Regions from separate parts of the Mus musculus genome. Here region 1 is reported to be linked to region 2. Evidence: microRNA targets listed by miRTarBase, many of them from high-throughput screens and not tested one by one. Region 2 holds a microRNA gene; the other region holds the end of a gene's coding sequence.

What was found. The annotated mature microRNA mmu-miR-9-5p reads UCUUUGGUUAUCUAGCUGUAUGA and lies in region 2 at 4,393-4,415, opposite strand. An mRNA with a match to its seed (bases 2 to 7 or 8) in the 3' UTR can be bound and repressed. Matches are read on the target gene's strand: a 7mer-m8 pairs with bases 2 to 8, a 7mer-A1 pairs with bases 2 to 7 and ends in A, and an 8mer does both.
Region 1: the mRNA of Padi2 is a reported target of mmu-miR-9-5p. Seed matches in the 3' UTR shown: 8mer at 4,636-4,643.

The regions. Positions count from the first base shown.
Region 1 is chr4:140,948,959-140,956,057 of GRCm38, reverse strand. Padi2 (peptidyl arginine deiminase, type II) reads right to left here. Exons shown (of 16, transcript NM_008812.2): 15 at 6,718-6,846; 16 at 3,472-6,367. The coding sequence ends at 6,134. Gm13031 (predicted gene 13031) reads left to right here. Exons shown (of 4, transcript NR_045911.1): 2 at 6,069-6,217. Among named protein-coding and RNA genes, the nearest start is that of Gm13031, 5.4 kb to the left of the region's middle.
Region 2 is chr3:88,212,909-88,220,027 of GRCm38, reverse strand. Mir9-1 (microRNA 9-1) reads right to left here and starts at 4,430; the gene lies at 4,342-4,430. All of the region lies in intron 2 of Gm3764 (predicted gene 3764), which reads right to left. Mir3093 (microRNA 3093) reads right to left here and starts at 4,857; the gene lies at 4,771-4,857. Gm25641 (predicted gene, 25641) reads left to right here and starts at 4,358; the gene lies at 4,358-4,415.

The DNA of each region.
Region 1 (7,099 bases), not on the chromosome of region 2:
GAATGCACGTCTCTAAGTTCTTTCCAAGAGTGGTGGCTGAATCATTATTCTGCTCTGGTAGCAATGTTTATAAAAGATGATCAATTACTGTGTCAGTGACACTGCCCACCGAGGGGCCAGAAACCCTTCTTAGAGTTTTCATAAGATTCACAGGTTAGGAGGGACTCAAGAGCCACAAGCAGAGCGATGGCTCCACAACACTATGAACCCGGGGCTGGGAAGGTGGCAAGTAGCCATGAAGTCTGCGCTTCAGTTCTCAGCGTTGCCTAAACTGGGCACGGAGGTCCATACCTGTGATTTCAGCTCTTGGAAGGTGGAGGTAGAAGAATTAGAAGTTCAAGATCACTGTTGGTTGCATAGGGAGCTTAAGGCTGTCCTGGGCTAGAGATCCTATCTCAGAAGCAAAGAGAGAGGGAGAGGGAGGGGGAGGGAGAGAGGGAGAGAGGGAGAAGAAAGCAAGCTGAGCAGTGATGATGCACACCTTTAATCTTAGCACTCAGGAGGCAGGAAGATCTCTTAGTTCAAGGCTAGCCTGGTCTACAGAGTGAGCTCAGGGCAGCCAGGGTTACACAGAAACAAATCCTGTCTTGGAAAAGAAAGAGAGAAAGTGAGAGAGCGAGAAGAGAGCGAGAGGTCGGAGGAAAGGGATATCACTTAGTGGTAGAACACTTATCTAGAGAGAAAGCGAGCGAGAGAGAGAGAGACAGAGAGAGAGCGAGCGAGAGGTCGGAGGAAAGGGATATCACTTAGTGGTAGAACACGTATCTAGAACGTGTGAAACCTTTGGTTCAATTCTCAATAGCCAAACAGAGAAGAAGAAAATAAAATATTTCTTACTTAGAACCTCTCCCACTCTGGGGAGTTCTTTCTCACTTTTCCTTAATAAATCTGTGTTTGGTCTGCAAAATTTAATAATATATAAATAATAAATTTAAAAAAAAACAGAAAATAAGTGACAAACCAGCCTGCCTCCATCTTAGACTTAAAAGCCATTGTGTAGTAAAGACACACTACACTCATTGCTGTTTATGACTGTGTCTGCTTCTCAAGGACTGGGCTATGCCCCGCCTGTAACCTTAACTACAGATAGTGCTGAACTACCTGTTCCAGAAAAATGACAACTAAACCTTTGTTTCAGAAGTTGTAACAGACATCTTGCAACCTGGCCTTTGTTTAAACAGTTATTAGGACTACCTTGTAACGACCACCTTGCAATCATGCCTCCGCTTCAAAAAGGTTGTTTTTTGTTTGTTTGTTTACATTTATTTATTTATTATATGTAAGTACACTGTAGCTGTCTTCAGACACACCAGAAGAGAGCATCAAATCTCATTACAGATGGTTGTGAGCCACCATGTGGTTGCTAGGATTTGAACTCAGGACCTACAGAAGAGCAGTCAGTGCTCTTAACTGCTGAGCCATCTCTCCAGCCCCCTCAAAGAGGTTGTTATGATCAACTTATTCTACAGCGGTGATCTCTTGAACACCACGTATTGGGAGGCATCCTGTGTCTGGAAATAAAGACCTTGCTTTAATTCATTGTTGTTCCAGTTACTTCGGTGGTGATGATCTGGGTTGATGGTCAGCCTTTCTCCTTCAATCGTCGGGGTTAACCTTTGGGTCATGAGCATGGCTGTAATAAAGATGGCTGGAGAGATGGCTCAGCAGTTAAGAGCACTGGCTGCTCTTCCAGAGGAACTGGGTTAAATTCCCAGTACCCACACTGCAGCTCACAACTGTCTGTAACTCCAGTCCTGGGGAATCCAATGCCCTGGTCTTGTTTCTGAAAGCTATGAAGTCTATGTGGTACATAGACATACATGCAGGCAAAGCACCTCTAGGCTAGGGTTAATGATGAAGAGGAGGGGGAAGAGGAGGAGGGGGAGGAGGAGGAGGAGGAGGAGGGGGAGGAGGGGGAGGAGGAGGAGGAGGGGGAGGAGAAGGAGGGCTGAGAAAAGGACTTCCTGTTCCCTGCAAGACAACCTTTAACAATAAAGGACAGAGTCAAGATGGGTGTGGGGGGTTCATCCTGACAGTGGGCAATGGTGACATAGCAAAGCCACCCCCCTGCCCCCCAAGATGGCCATAGCTTAGGCAAGAGGACTTTCTGGAAGGTTCTGGAAGGAAGAAGGCTGATGTTCCCTTTGCATTTCTACTTTCTGTGTTACAGAAATCAACTTTGATGAACTATGACAGTCAGATGACTGGATTCTAGGTTTTTGTTGTTGTTTTTCTCTTTTGAGACAGGGTTTCTTTGTGTAACCCTGGATGTCCTGGAACTCTCTCTGTTGACCAGGCTGGCCTCAAACTCACAGAGACTCTCCTGCTTCTGCCTCTAGAGTACTGGGATTAAAAGCATGTGCCACCAATCCCTGGCCTCTCTGGCTCCCTGTTTAGCCTTGGTTTGTCTGGAACTAACTTGCTGCATAGACCTTGAACTCACAAGATTCACCTGTCTCTGTCTCCTGAGTGCTGATATTAAAGGCACGTGCCGTCGTGCCTGGCTAGAAGGTTTTTTTTTTTGTTTTTTTTTTTTTTGTGCATGTAGATCCATGTGCCAGGACAGACATGTGGAGGTCAGAGGACAACTTCATATAGTCAGCTCTTTCCTCCTGTCTTAAAGGTAGTCTCAGAAACAAAAGTCAGCCTGCAGGCTCACGGTAAGCCCCTTTACCCGGTGAGCTACCTCACGGGTTTAACTTGGCTTTATGTTATTTATTTGTATGTACCTGAGTGTGCGTGTGTGCGTGCAGGTGCCCACAGAGGCCAAAAGTGGGAGTTAGCCACTGTCTGGAAGACTAGCAAGCGTGTTTAACCACTGAGCAATCTCTCCAAGCCCCACTCCCTAACTCTGTTCATAATGCAGCAGATACAACCTTCTTTAGATGTTGCCGTAGACTACCGGTGGCTTTCCCCATCAAGGACCAAAGGGGCCAGAGTTAGTGCCCTGCTGGTCAGATGCAGTGGGACCTGCGTTCCATGGGGTTGACTTCCAGGGGCCATCAGCCCTGCAGAGCTCACAGGGGGTACTAGGATACTGGCCCTGCACTGGCCCTGAAGTTACACCCCTTTCTTGTGTCTTCCTTCACTTTCAATGCCCTGTCCCCCCAGTTTCTGGATCCGTTTCTCCTGGAGACGCTTGGCTAACAACTCACTGGCTCCCAAATGCTTATCTCACTGTGTGCATCTGGGGAAACTCAGTTTTAAAACATGGTTGCTTACTTACTGTGGATATTGGTCACGACCTTGGGTAGAGGCTGTGTGACACACAGTCCTGAGAGTGTATGTGTGTGTATGTGTGTGTGTGTGGGGGGCAAGATGGGGTGGTGCTGGGTCCTCGAGATGAGTTTGATAAGGATCAAGACTTTATGTTCAGAACAATAGGAGCTTCATGACCACAAGGGCCACATGTGATCTGACTGACTTGTGTCTATGTCTCAGAAGCCGCAAAGAATGTCACCCAGAGCCGCGTAGCTTCCCGTGGACGGCTTATTTTATTGCTCTTTATTTTGGCTCTTCCCCAAACACTTCTCAGTCTCCATCTTGGCTTCTTCGCCAGGAAGTTGGTACTGCCTGGCTCCCGCCATCTTCCTGCCGTCCCTCAGCCCTTCACGGAGCATTTCAAAACTCACATCGAAACAGGAACTGGTGTAGCCCAGAAGCATCTGGGCCTAAGTTAAAAACAAAACAAAACAAAACACAGTGGGGGTGGGGAAGAGCAAGGAGTCCACCCAGGGGAGGCAAGGGGGCATCCACACTTGGGGGGGAGTCACACTGGGTGAGTAAGTGAGATGGGACAGGCAGTGTCTGAGTCCTGGAGTTCCAGAAATTTCTGAGACAACCAATGCCACCAGGGAGTATTGTAGCAGTCTACAAAGCCACGCGGCTGCCATATGGGAGGTGCTCACTTCCTCCCACCCCAGATAAAAATAAAAGCAGTAAAGTCACTTTAACCGAACACCACAAGCCCCCACCTCTCCACATCAGCTCCCTCAGAGAGGTGCCCGTGTTTTCTACTCTGGAGCAGGAGACAGGATTTGGGGCTTTGCCCTCAAGAGCAGGGACCACTGTCTCCAGAGACAGATGATGGCAGCTTTGGAGGCTCTGAGGCCCGACCTGGCATGGCTGTTGGCCCAACTGGATGGAGAAGAAGACACGACCCTAACTCTCGAAGGCAGTGACTGTTGAGCGTATGCTTATTGGATATACTGGGTAGTGTTCCCAAAGAGCCTACCACAGCAAGGGCAAGTGCGGCCACGTAGATGTGCGCTTTGTCTGCAGGGGACAAGCGAGTCTACGGTTAGCTTATGTTATCGGAGTCTAAGTCTGTGCCCACTGCTCAGTAGCATACAACCCGTTGATTGCATAGCTGAGGAAATAATCCAAGGTAAAAATCTTGTTCCCCTAAGAATGTAGGTCTGGGGCTGGAGAGATGGCTCAGTGGTTAAGAGCATTGACTGCTCGCCCAGAGGTCCTAAGTTCAATTCCCAGCAACCACATGGTGGCTCACAACCATCTGTAATGGGATCTGACGCCCTCTTCTGGTGTGTCTGAAGACAGCTGCAGTGTACTCATATACATAAAATAAATAAATAAATCTTTAATAAAAAAAAATAATGTAGGTCTGTAACCCTTTCTTTGGTTATAAAATGGAGCTGTTTAACCTTTCAAAGTAGAATTAATATTTCCTATCTTCTTGGCCTTAAAGGACCTTTTTTATTTAAAATTTTTTTTTATTTTTTAAATATCATTTATTTTACTTTACTTGGATGTGTGCTTGAGTGTGTGTATGTGAACCATGTATGTGCAGAAGCCCGTGGAGGTCAGATGAGAGCATTGGACCCCCTGGAACTAGAGTTATAGGTAGTTGTGAGCCACCACCTGGGTGCTGAGAACTGAACCCCGGTACTCTGCAATAGCAGATTGTGCACCACCGGGCCCTATCTCTCCAGACCCTAACAAATGTATTTATGTGTATGGGTTTGTACACATGTGTGCAGTGCCCTCAGGGGCCAGAACGGGGTACTGGAGCCTCTGGATCTGGGATTACAGACAGTTGCAGGTGTTGAGAACTGCACTTGGGTCCTCTCCAAGAGCAGGGAGCATTTTTAATTGCTGAGCCATCTCTGCAGCTCCTGGGGGTCTTTCTAATGGAAGCCGAGGGGTAAATTTGCCTGTATCTGGATGGGAGCCTTTGGAAAGCATGCTGGGAAATTCCTCCTCTGGAGCAGCAGCTAGCTGGAAAGGGAGCACTGAGGCTGGAACGTGGCCAGCATCCTTGGACACTGGGGCCAGCATCCATGAGGAGAGATAGGCTGCTTCTCAGGCTCTCGGGAGGCCTGGATCTGGCTGTGTAGCTGCTGGAGGGACAAATGTCCAGAACAGGAAGGTCAATGTCCAAAATAGGAAGAGCAATGAGCCCAAGAACTGGCCAGAGAATTGAGGACCAGGTGAGAGAACAGAAATAGCATTGACAGGCAGGAGCATCTTCATATACCGAACTTTAGACCGTGGATGCTAGTCTGAGACCTCCCCTTTCTCCTAAATTTGGGCAGCCCGCATCCACAGAAAGTGAAGAACGCTCCTCTGCTAAGACCTATTTCTGGAAGATTCTGTGCTGAATGATTGGACCCTCAGGGAGTGGGGACGCAACGTGTACGGGAAACTGTAAGGAATGAACAGGTGCAGGGAGCCAGCCACCAGGAGACCCCGAGGGAGGTGAGCTTGAAGTGAGGGTACCATCCAAGGTACTCCAGGACCCTCTCCTGGTCTACCTTGAATGTCAGATGGATGCTGGGAGAGCCAATGACCTCAGAGCCTCCCTTCTCCCTTCCCTCATTCTGGCCTGGAGTAGAGGCTGAGAATTCCTGGGGACAATCTGACTACATGATTTGTTGATGTCCCCTTTCCCTGGCCAGGGCTCTGCACACTAACCACATGTCCCACTAGTTTTAGGTGGAGGATGGCTGGGCTTACTGGGGTGGGGGTGGGGCTTCAGTGGACACTGAGGTCCTTCTCCAGGGGACAGCAAGGCACATATATCCCCCAATCCCATCTGCTTCTTGTAGGGGAAGGACTTGGGGGTACAGGAAGGACCCAGAGACCGCAGCGGAGGAGGAAAAGGAAAAGGCAGTCAGGGCACCATGTGCCACCACTTGAAGGTGAACGGCTTCCTGCGGACATTGGTGCCACAGTGAACCTCTCCCAGGAACTTGTGGTAGGCGGAGATGTCATCGATGAACGTGCAGGCGAGGCCCAGGGGCTCCAGCAGGCCTCGAACGTGCGTCTCCAGGCAGCACTCCTCCTCCACCTGGGGCCCGAAAGGCTTGGGGATGCCCAGGTCCTTGTCTAGCACGATCATGTTCACCTGGGAGGGGAGCGAGTGTTTAGGGAGCAGCCACTGTTTGCCTGAGGGCGTCAAGTCCTATCTATGTAGGGCGTGTTGTCAGGGATCCTCCTCTAGAGGTGGGGAAACACAGGCACAGATTCTGAGCTGTGATAGTTTTTGCCAAGCACTCTCCTGTCTAGAGTAATGGGCCAGGGGATAGACACCTAGTAAGAAAGCAAGGCTAAGCATGTCACCCCTAGCAGGGAATGGAGAGGCTCAGAGAGGGCAAGGGTCAGAGGTGAGGTTACCCAGCAACTCAGCTGGGCCCTTCTGGGGCTGTTTGCACCCTGCTGGGGGTGGCATGAGGGGTTGGGGCTGGAGTATCTCACCATGTTAGGGAAGAAAGCCCTGGCCTGGTGATTTTCATCCATCTTGAAGAGCGCGGGCAGGTCAATAATGTCCTTCTCAGTCAGCGCTAGCTCCCTCTTAAGGATGTCGCGGTTCCAGTCCAGACAGCGCTGGGGGAGGGGGAAAGAGGAAGCGTTGAAGTCCGGGGACACACACACCTGCTTAGCTGGTATCCCTGTCACCTCTCCAGCATCTCCCCCCAGGGATAAGAAAAAAAAAAAAAAAAAAAGACAATCCATTCCTCATTTTTTGAGACAGTCTCTCTTTGTAGCTCTGGCTGTCCTAAAACTTTATATAGACCAAGCTGGCCTTGAACTCACAGAGATTCAAAGGTACTAGGCCTAAAGGCATATGTCACTATGC
Region 2 (7,119 bases):
GCCTGGGTGGCAAGGAGCCTCCCTTTTTTCTCACCTCTGTCTTCAGTTAAAAGCACGCTCAACCTTCCTTTCATAACCCTATTCCCCCTTCTCCTCAAATCCCAAATGTTTGTTCTCCCAGTTTGTCTTCTCCTCCCCGGCAGTCATTTGAAACCACCATTAACCTAAATTCACTCACCTCCTGGGGGGAGTTGGCCCATCTTGCCTGTTGGTACAATCTCCCCATCTCCTCTTTTGTGGGGTCTTTTAAAAATTATTTTCTTAGGCAAGATCTCAGTGTGAACAAGCTGACCTTGATGTCTGGACCCTCCCGCCTCAGCCTCCTGAGTATTGAGGTTATAGGCATGACCCACTAAGCCCAGCTCCTGCTTCTAGAAACTCTAAAATCTAGATATTGAATGGCAAAGGGTTCTGACTATCACTTACACATTATGCAACCTGCCACACATGTTCTTAGAAGAAAGAACACAAAGCCAGGCGTGACTGTAAGCATTGGAGGATTGAGGCAGGAGGATCACCATCAGTTAGAGGCCAGCCCTGGCTACTTTGAGGGTTCTAGGTCAATCTGAGTTAAAAGTGAAACTGTGTCCCAAGAAATCTGATGCAGAGAGGTGTGGGTGCAGGATGACTATGAATAGTGACCCGCAGACCCCAGCTCTTCCCTCGGCAGGCTCACCAAGGGGACCCTCCTCAATCCTTCTTTAAAGGGTTACAGTTACTTGGTTACAAACACCCCAAAGGGTAGCCTTCAATCCTCTGCAGTGAAGGAATGCCTCCCTGTGGGTGTCACCACATGGTGTGTAGAGCATCCTTTGCTACACAGAACAACATGGGAAACTCACTCAGATGTAATGTGTAAGTGACATGCCTGAGACCAGGATTCCAAAAAAAACCTAGTTCCTTTTCTTAGATTTTGTCCTTCCTTCCTTCCTTCCTTCCTTCCTTCCTTCCTTCCTTCCTCCCTCCCTCCCTCTCTCTCTCTCTCTCTCTTTCTCTTTCTTTCTTTCTTTCTTTCTTTCTTTCTTTCTTTCTTTCTTTCTTTCTTTCTTTCTTTCTCTTAAGAGCAGGGTCTCACTATGTAGGTCTTGCTGTCCTGAAACTCACAGAGATCTACCTGCCTCTGTCTCAAAAGTCTGGGACTAAAGGCATGCATCAATCCACCATGCCTGGCTCAATAAGACCTTTTCAATGCCTAGAAGGGGTGGGGGTATTGTCTCTGGGTTGGATTCATGCAAAACTGGAGTGAAATATTTGTAAGAAAGTTGCCTTCAGCTGCGTATACTGAGAGCCCTGCAAAAGGACATAGGGCAAGGGCTTGAAAAACGTGGGTCACAGAAACAGCTGAGGGGCTGGAAAGATGCTCAGTGGTTAAGAACACTGGCTGTACTGATCCAGTTTTCAATTCTCAACATCTACAAACATCCGTGACCCCAGTTCTAGGGCGATCCAGCATCCTCTTCTTGCCTTGGAGGGCATTACTATATGGTGCATAGACATATGCAGGCAAAACACACCCGCAGAGACAGACATCTTTGAAACCAGATGTGAAATTGGTTTCCAGTAAGTCTGGTGTGTGTAGCAGACTGAAGAATAGAAATGGCAGTTTTTAAACAAAGGAGACTTCTCAAGTGGACAAAACATGAACTCAGACCAAAGGAGCTCTCCTACACAGTTTAGCTGGGTAGGGAGGGTGCTATATGATATAAAGAGGGGAAGTTCAGCACTTGGGAGGCTGAAGCAGGAGAATTGTCATCAGTTCCACGGAAGCCTGGGCAACACTTTCTAAAAAAAAAAAAGGAGAGATCCATGGAGATATCTCTGGATAAAGGTCTTTGCCACCAAACCTGACATTTGATTTCCATCTCCTGAACCCACAGGGTTAAAGGAGTGAACAGGCTCTCTCATAATTTGTCCTCTGACTTACAAATATATAACCACAGACACAAAATAAATAATTAAAACAAAGGAGAGGAGGGGGAGGAGGACGGGGAGGAGGAGGAGGAGGAGGAGGAGGAGGAGGAGGAGGAGGAGGAGGAGACTTTGGTATCACTGTGATGTCTGCATTTAATAAACCCCAGCTCTTTTCTGTGGTTTTGCCTGGCCACATTCTAGCATCCCCAGTGTCCCAGCTGAGTTTCCTAGCACAGCACACATCCTTATACCAATCCACACAGGCTGCCTCCCTCTCTTCACCCTTAGGCACATGGACTTCACAAAGGGCACCTGCTGCCCTGCTGAGTACCGTACACATACACAGTCAGTGTGCATCTAAAGAAGACATGAACCCTTAGCAGCCTAACCTCCTAGCCTCTATTCCTCCTTTTCCTAAAGCCTTCTACTCTCTTTTGAAGAGCCTGTGATCCAATGTGCTCATGGGAAACAATAATATAAAACTACTGTGGTTAGCAACTGAGACTCTAAGTGTTCCTGGGAATATGTGGTGTGTGTGTGTGTGTGTGTGTGTGTGTGTGTGTGTGTGTGTGTGTGTGTTTAGGGGGACTCTAGGATGCCCAAGAACTTGCTGTGTAGACAAGGATGACTTTGAATTCTTGATCCTTCGTCCTCTACTTTGCAACTGCTCAGATTATAGGCCTGTGCTATGATAGAGGGCTGTGTAGCCCTGGCTGTCCTGGAATTTACAGTGAAGACACTATACAGGAAACATTAAAGATGGTAATGATAAGGAAGCTTATTTTATTGATGCCCCTCCTCTGCCCATGCAAATTCCCAATAACAGAGAGGCTTCCCTTCTTTCTACTTTCCCAGTTGGCTCCCTTGGGGTGGGGAGTGTCACTTTCTCCAAGACAGAGTAAATGGAAGGAGCTTTGAGTGTCAAGCCAGTGAGTAATGTCAGCTGCTCACTTGTGCCTGTGTAACATGGGATCACATGGCATCTCTCAAGCAGCGGAAAAAGAAAACAGGCTGTGGCCAGACCATTAGTTCCAGCCTAGACCCAGCCTCTTTTCTCCTTGACTTAAGCTTCATCCCCACCACCCCTACCAAAACAAAACAAATTCCAAGCTTCTGGAATTTAAGAGGCCACTCGACTCTCCCTCCCCTAACTGCTAAAGAAGACACACACAGGCAATAGATTCCCTGAAGTCCCAGAATTTGAATTTGGATTCTCTAATATTTCCCCCCATGTAATACAAAATTGAATCATTATCTTCTAACTGTAAAATCAGGTCCCGGGAGGAAATTTTAAATTTATAAGAACCAGCGGAGTCTGGGTGATGACATTTTGCCCAGTTTTCTGCCTCTTATTAGTCGGTACAGCCCAGGTCTCCAAGTGCCAGCTGGTCAAGTTCGGCTGAGGGCCATGAGAGCAGAGGGGATTCCTAGCTCTGGCCATGTTTGTTAGACCATCTTCTCAGCTGTAGAAACCCTCTTTCACTAAAATATTTAGGTCAGGCAAGATAAATAGATTCTTTTTACAGGAGCCCAAATTAATCTCTCTAATTCTTTGCGTTCTCTGGGCAGCACAGCTACACATTCCTTTGTGTTTGAGCTCCACAGAGCTCCTTGAGGCCATTTGTTCCTTTGGGACACGATTTCCAAGAGTGAGGTTAGGACCGAAAGGTGGGATGCTCTAAAGCCCCCCACCCCAACTCTACACCTTTAGCCACTAATGACAAAGCAGCCAGAGAGAGTTCAGTTAGACTTAGCTCTGGTCCTGAAGGCCAAAGTGAAAGCAAAGAACCTGCGCCCCAGGGTCCCAGAATTCCTGTGGGGTAAAAAGGTCTCTGGCCACTCTGGCCCTTGCCCTTGTGGTTACTTTGTTTCTGCATCGCCATTCTCCCTAATAAGTTCGATGTGTGTGTTGGTTTTTAAGCCTTCCCCGCTCCTAGACCTGTTCCCACCTGGGCAATCTTGACTCCCAGTAAAGCTGAAGGGCTTCAGGGAAACCACCAAAGCAAAAACCAGCTTTCTAGAGACATCCTACGAACCTCGAACTCCACCAGTCGCTTCGAAGAGCCAGAGGGAAGCTGCTCACACCAGCCACCCGCTCCCGGGATGCGTCGAGACCGGGAGAGGGATGCTTGCACTTTCCCCCCAACCCTTCAGCCAAGGGCTCTGTCTCTCCCGGGAGCGGCTTCTCCGGACTGAGGCCCAGACTGCTCCATTTTGACCAGGCCTCCAGAGGCGACCCCAGAGCGGCTTCTTGCTTTCTTCCCAGGTGAGCAGGTTGCGGGTGGGGATCGCGAGGTGGCTCGGGCTGAGCAACCTTTGAAGGCGACGAGTCCCCCTCCCCCCAGCCCTCCAGCCTCCAGGCACGCCTGGCACGGCTCTCCCTCCTGCAGCTCGGCCACTACCAGCGTTCCAGGCCCTCTGCGCAGTGTATGGGGTTATTTTTACTTTCGGTTATCTAGCTTTATGAAGACTCCACACCACTCATACAGCTAGATAACCAAAGATAACAACCAACCCCGCCTCCTGGCCGCCTCCTCCTCTTCCACGCAGCCTCCCGGCCACCGCCTGGACCTCCGTAGTCTCGAGTCGCTCGACGGCGGATGGGGGACGCGCGTGGTGTGGAGGCGAAAAGATGGGATCCAGGACCTCACGCACTATCACGACGAGACCTCAGAAAGGCGAGGAAAAGATGCTACCGCCGACGGTTCTGAGGTCGGGAATCTAGGCTGAAACCAAGCGGCCCCAAGCCTGACCGCCCATTTCCCACTCCCTCCTCCGTGCAGAAGCAGGGTTCCGCCGGTGCTAGTGGAAAGGCTCCAGGGCCTTCGTGCCATCCGGGAAGACCGCAGAAGCCTAGGCCGAGGCCTCCCCAACCTCCCACGGTGTCCACACCCTTCTCTGGAAGGTCGAGTGTGAGCTCCGCGGGGTGCGGCAGAGCCGAGCTCGCAGAGCTGCTCCGAGCTACCGACTGCAGGGGAGCGGCCGCGAAGCCCCGGACGGGAACCCCAGCACTGGGGAACCCCGAGGCCCAGAGGGAAGCCTGTGGCTGGCGGCGGGGTGGAGGGTGATCTAGAGACTCCCCAGCGACTCTCCCAAGGGCAAAGACCCCACCCAGAGAGAATCGGGCGAGCAGTCAGGACGTGGGGCTGCGGGTTAGGGCAAAGGGTGACCAGGCAGGTGCTCCGAGCCCTGGACCTACGGAACCGCGCGGGAGCCGGTTTTGTGCAAAACGCAGCCGAAATCATTCAGAGATGTGAAATATGCCACTGGGGGTCTGAGTGAGAGATGCCCTTAGTGGCTGGAGGGGGCTATCTGGACTGAACCCACTGGAAGGAGGTCCAGGGACCGTGCAGAGGGTGTAGAGCTCCGTGGTCGCAGGTGGCGGACGCGCGCGCTGGACTCTGAGGCGCTTTCCCCACCTCGTGCCCCACGCGGGTCAGGCCACTTACATCAAACCCAGGATGCCCAGTGGTAGTGTCCTGCGCGGTCTTCAGGCGCGTTCCTACCCAGGCAGCGCCACGGACGTGGGTCAAGGATGCCGGGGCTTGCCAGGTAATGGGGCCGAGCGAGAGCCAGCAGGGTGGAGCAGGGTCTCGAGTCCCAGCTCTCTCCTCAGCCTTGGCCGCTGCTCTGGCGGGGGCGCTCTCAGGCTCCGGACTTTTCATTCATCCCTTCACACTCCTTCCTCAGGTCAGCCCCTGATTGGCTATACCTGGTCTGACGTCACTGTCTCGTTTCTTCCCCCCCTCCCCCCCAGCCTTTCCATGCCCGACCCCCTCCCTCCCCAGGCCAGTCCAAGACGTGCAATTGGGGTGCCCCTCCCCCAGAGAATGGGATCCAATGTCTTTATGCCAATCCTTAGTCTTTTGCTGCCTCATCTACAACCCGCCTGCCACGTCTATAATCCATTGCCAATTGCGGTTCTGATGGCCACCTTCGCTCTTCTTGTCGATCTTACATTTTCCTTTTGGGCTCTACGGTACATTGCACCAAGACCAGCACGCAAAAATAGAAAATAAATAGGGCAAAATTCCCTCAAAGAGAAGAGATCTGTAATCTCAGCACCAGGAGGTTGAGGCAGGGATGCGGACTGGAGACTCTATCTCTGACCCCCTCCCACCTCACCCCACCGTTAGAGTCTTTTTGAGTTCTAATTCCTCCCAAACTGTGATCCTAATATTTAGGAGAGGCAAGGGTCTCTTTTGTTCAAGGTTTTCAACTCAAACCCTCACTGAAGGGAAGACTGTGCAGTTTGAGTCTCCTGCTATGAGACAATGGGCGAGCAAAGGGGGCCCTCTTTTCTGCATTTCAGGGGAATGTTCCTTGACCCTATCTGCAGATAACCACAGAATCCTAGCTGCTTTTGAGACTCAGAATTTGGCCAAGTCCTGGAGACCTTTAATAGGTCTTTCCCTCTACCCATGTTCCTCCAGGCTCCCAGGCATGCAGTGCCAGCTCTGGGTTCGGTTCCCCAAGGAAGATGCCTTTCAGGCAAAGCTCTGTCCCCGTCCTCAACTTCCTCCACCTGGCTCTCAATCCAGTCCAGCCAGAAAGGTCCTTTTCTCCACCAAAGAAGCAGAAGCAGAAAAGCACCGGGGAGTAGCCAGTTGCTGTTGGGCAACATCTGGGTTCTAGGTACATCGAAATTCTCAGAGCAACCATGGGCCCCAGGAGCTGCTCTGTGTGCCAGTGAGCGGTCCCTTCATCCTCCTACTTATCCTCTGCTGGGTCCCTTCTATAAAACTGGCTGAGATGCCTAAATCCTGCTGGTCAGATTAAACCAGCCAGTTCCTGTAACCAGGGACCCCTAAACACGGAGTCACCAGCAGTCCATTTAGGGGACTATCACTTTAACCATTGGGTCTGTCTATCTGCTAGTCCCATGAATAGCCCAAAACAAAGCCAGACCTGTGGACTGCTTATCTTGCTTAGATGGAAGGTGGTGGCTAATAGGTTTAACTTAGTGCTTCTCACCCAAAACGGAGTATGTCTGAATGTTCATTGCTATTAATGCTGGCTGCATGGCTGTGGGTGGGGCCAGCTTGAGATGAGATAAAACCCACAAGATGTTTCCCTACCAGAAGGATGATAGCAAGCAAATAGCCTTATCTCTCCATGTCTTGGGGCATTCTCAGGACCAGGTTTAGCCAGAATTTATTTATTTATTTACTTATTTATTTATTTATCTGTCTATTTATTTATTTATTT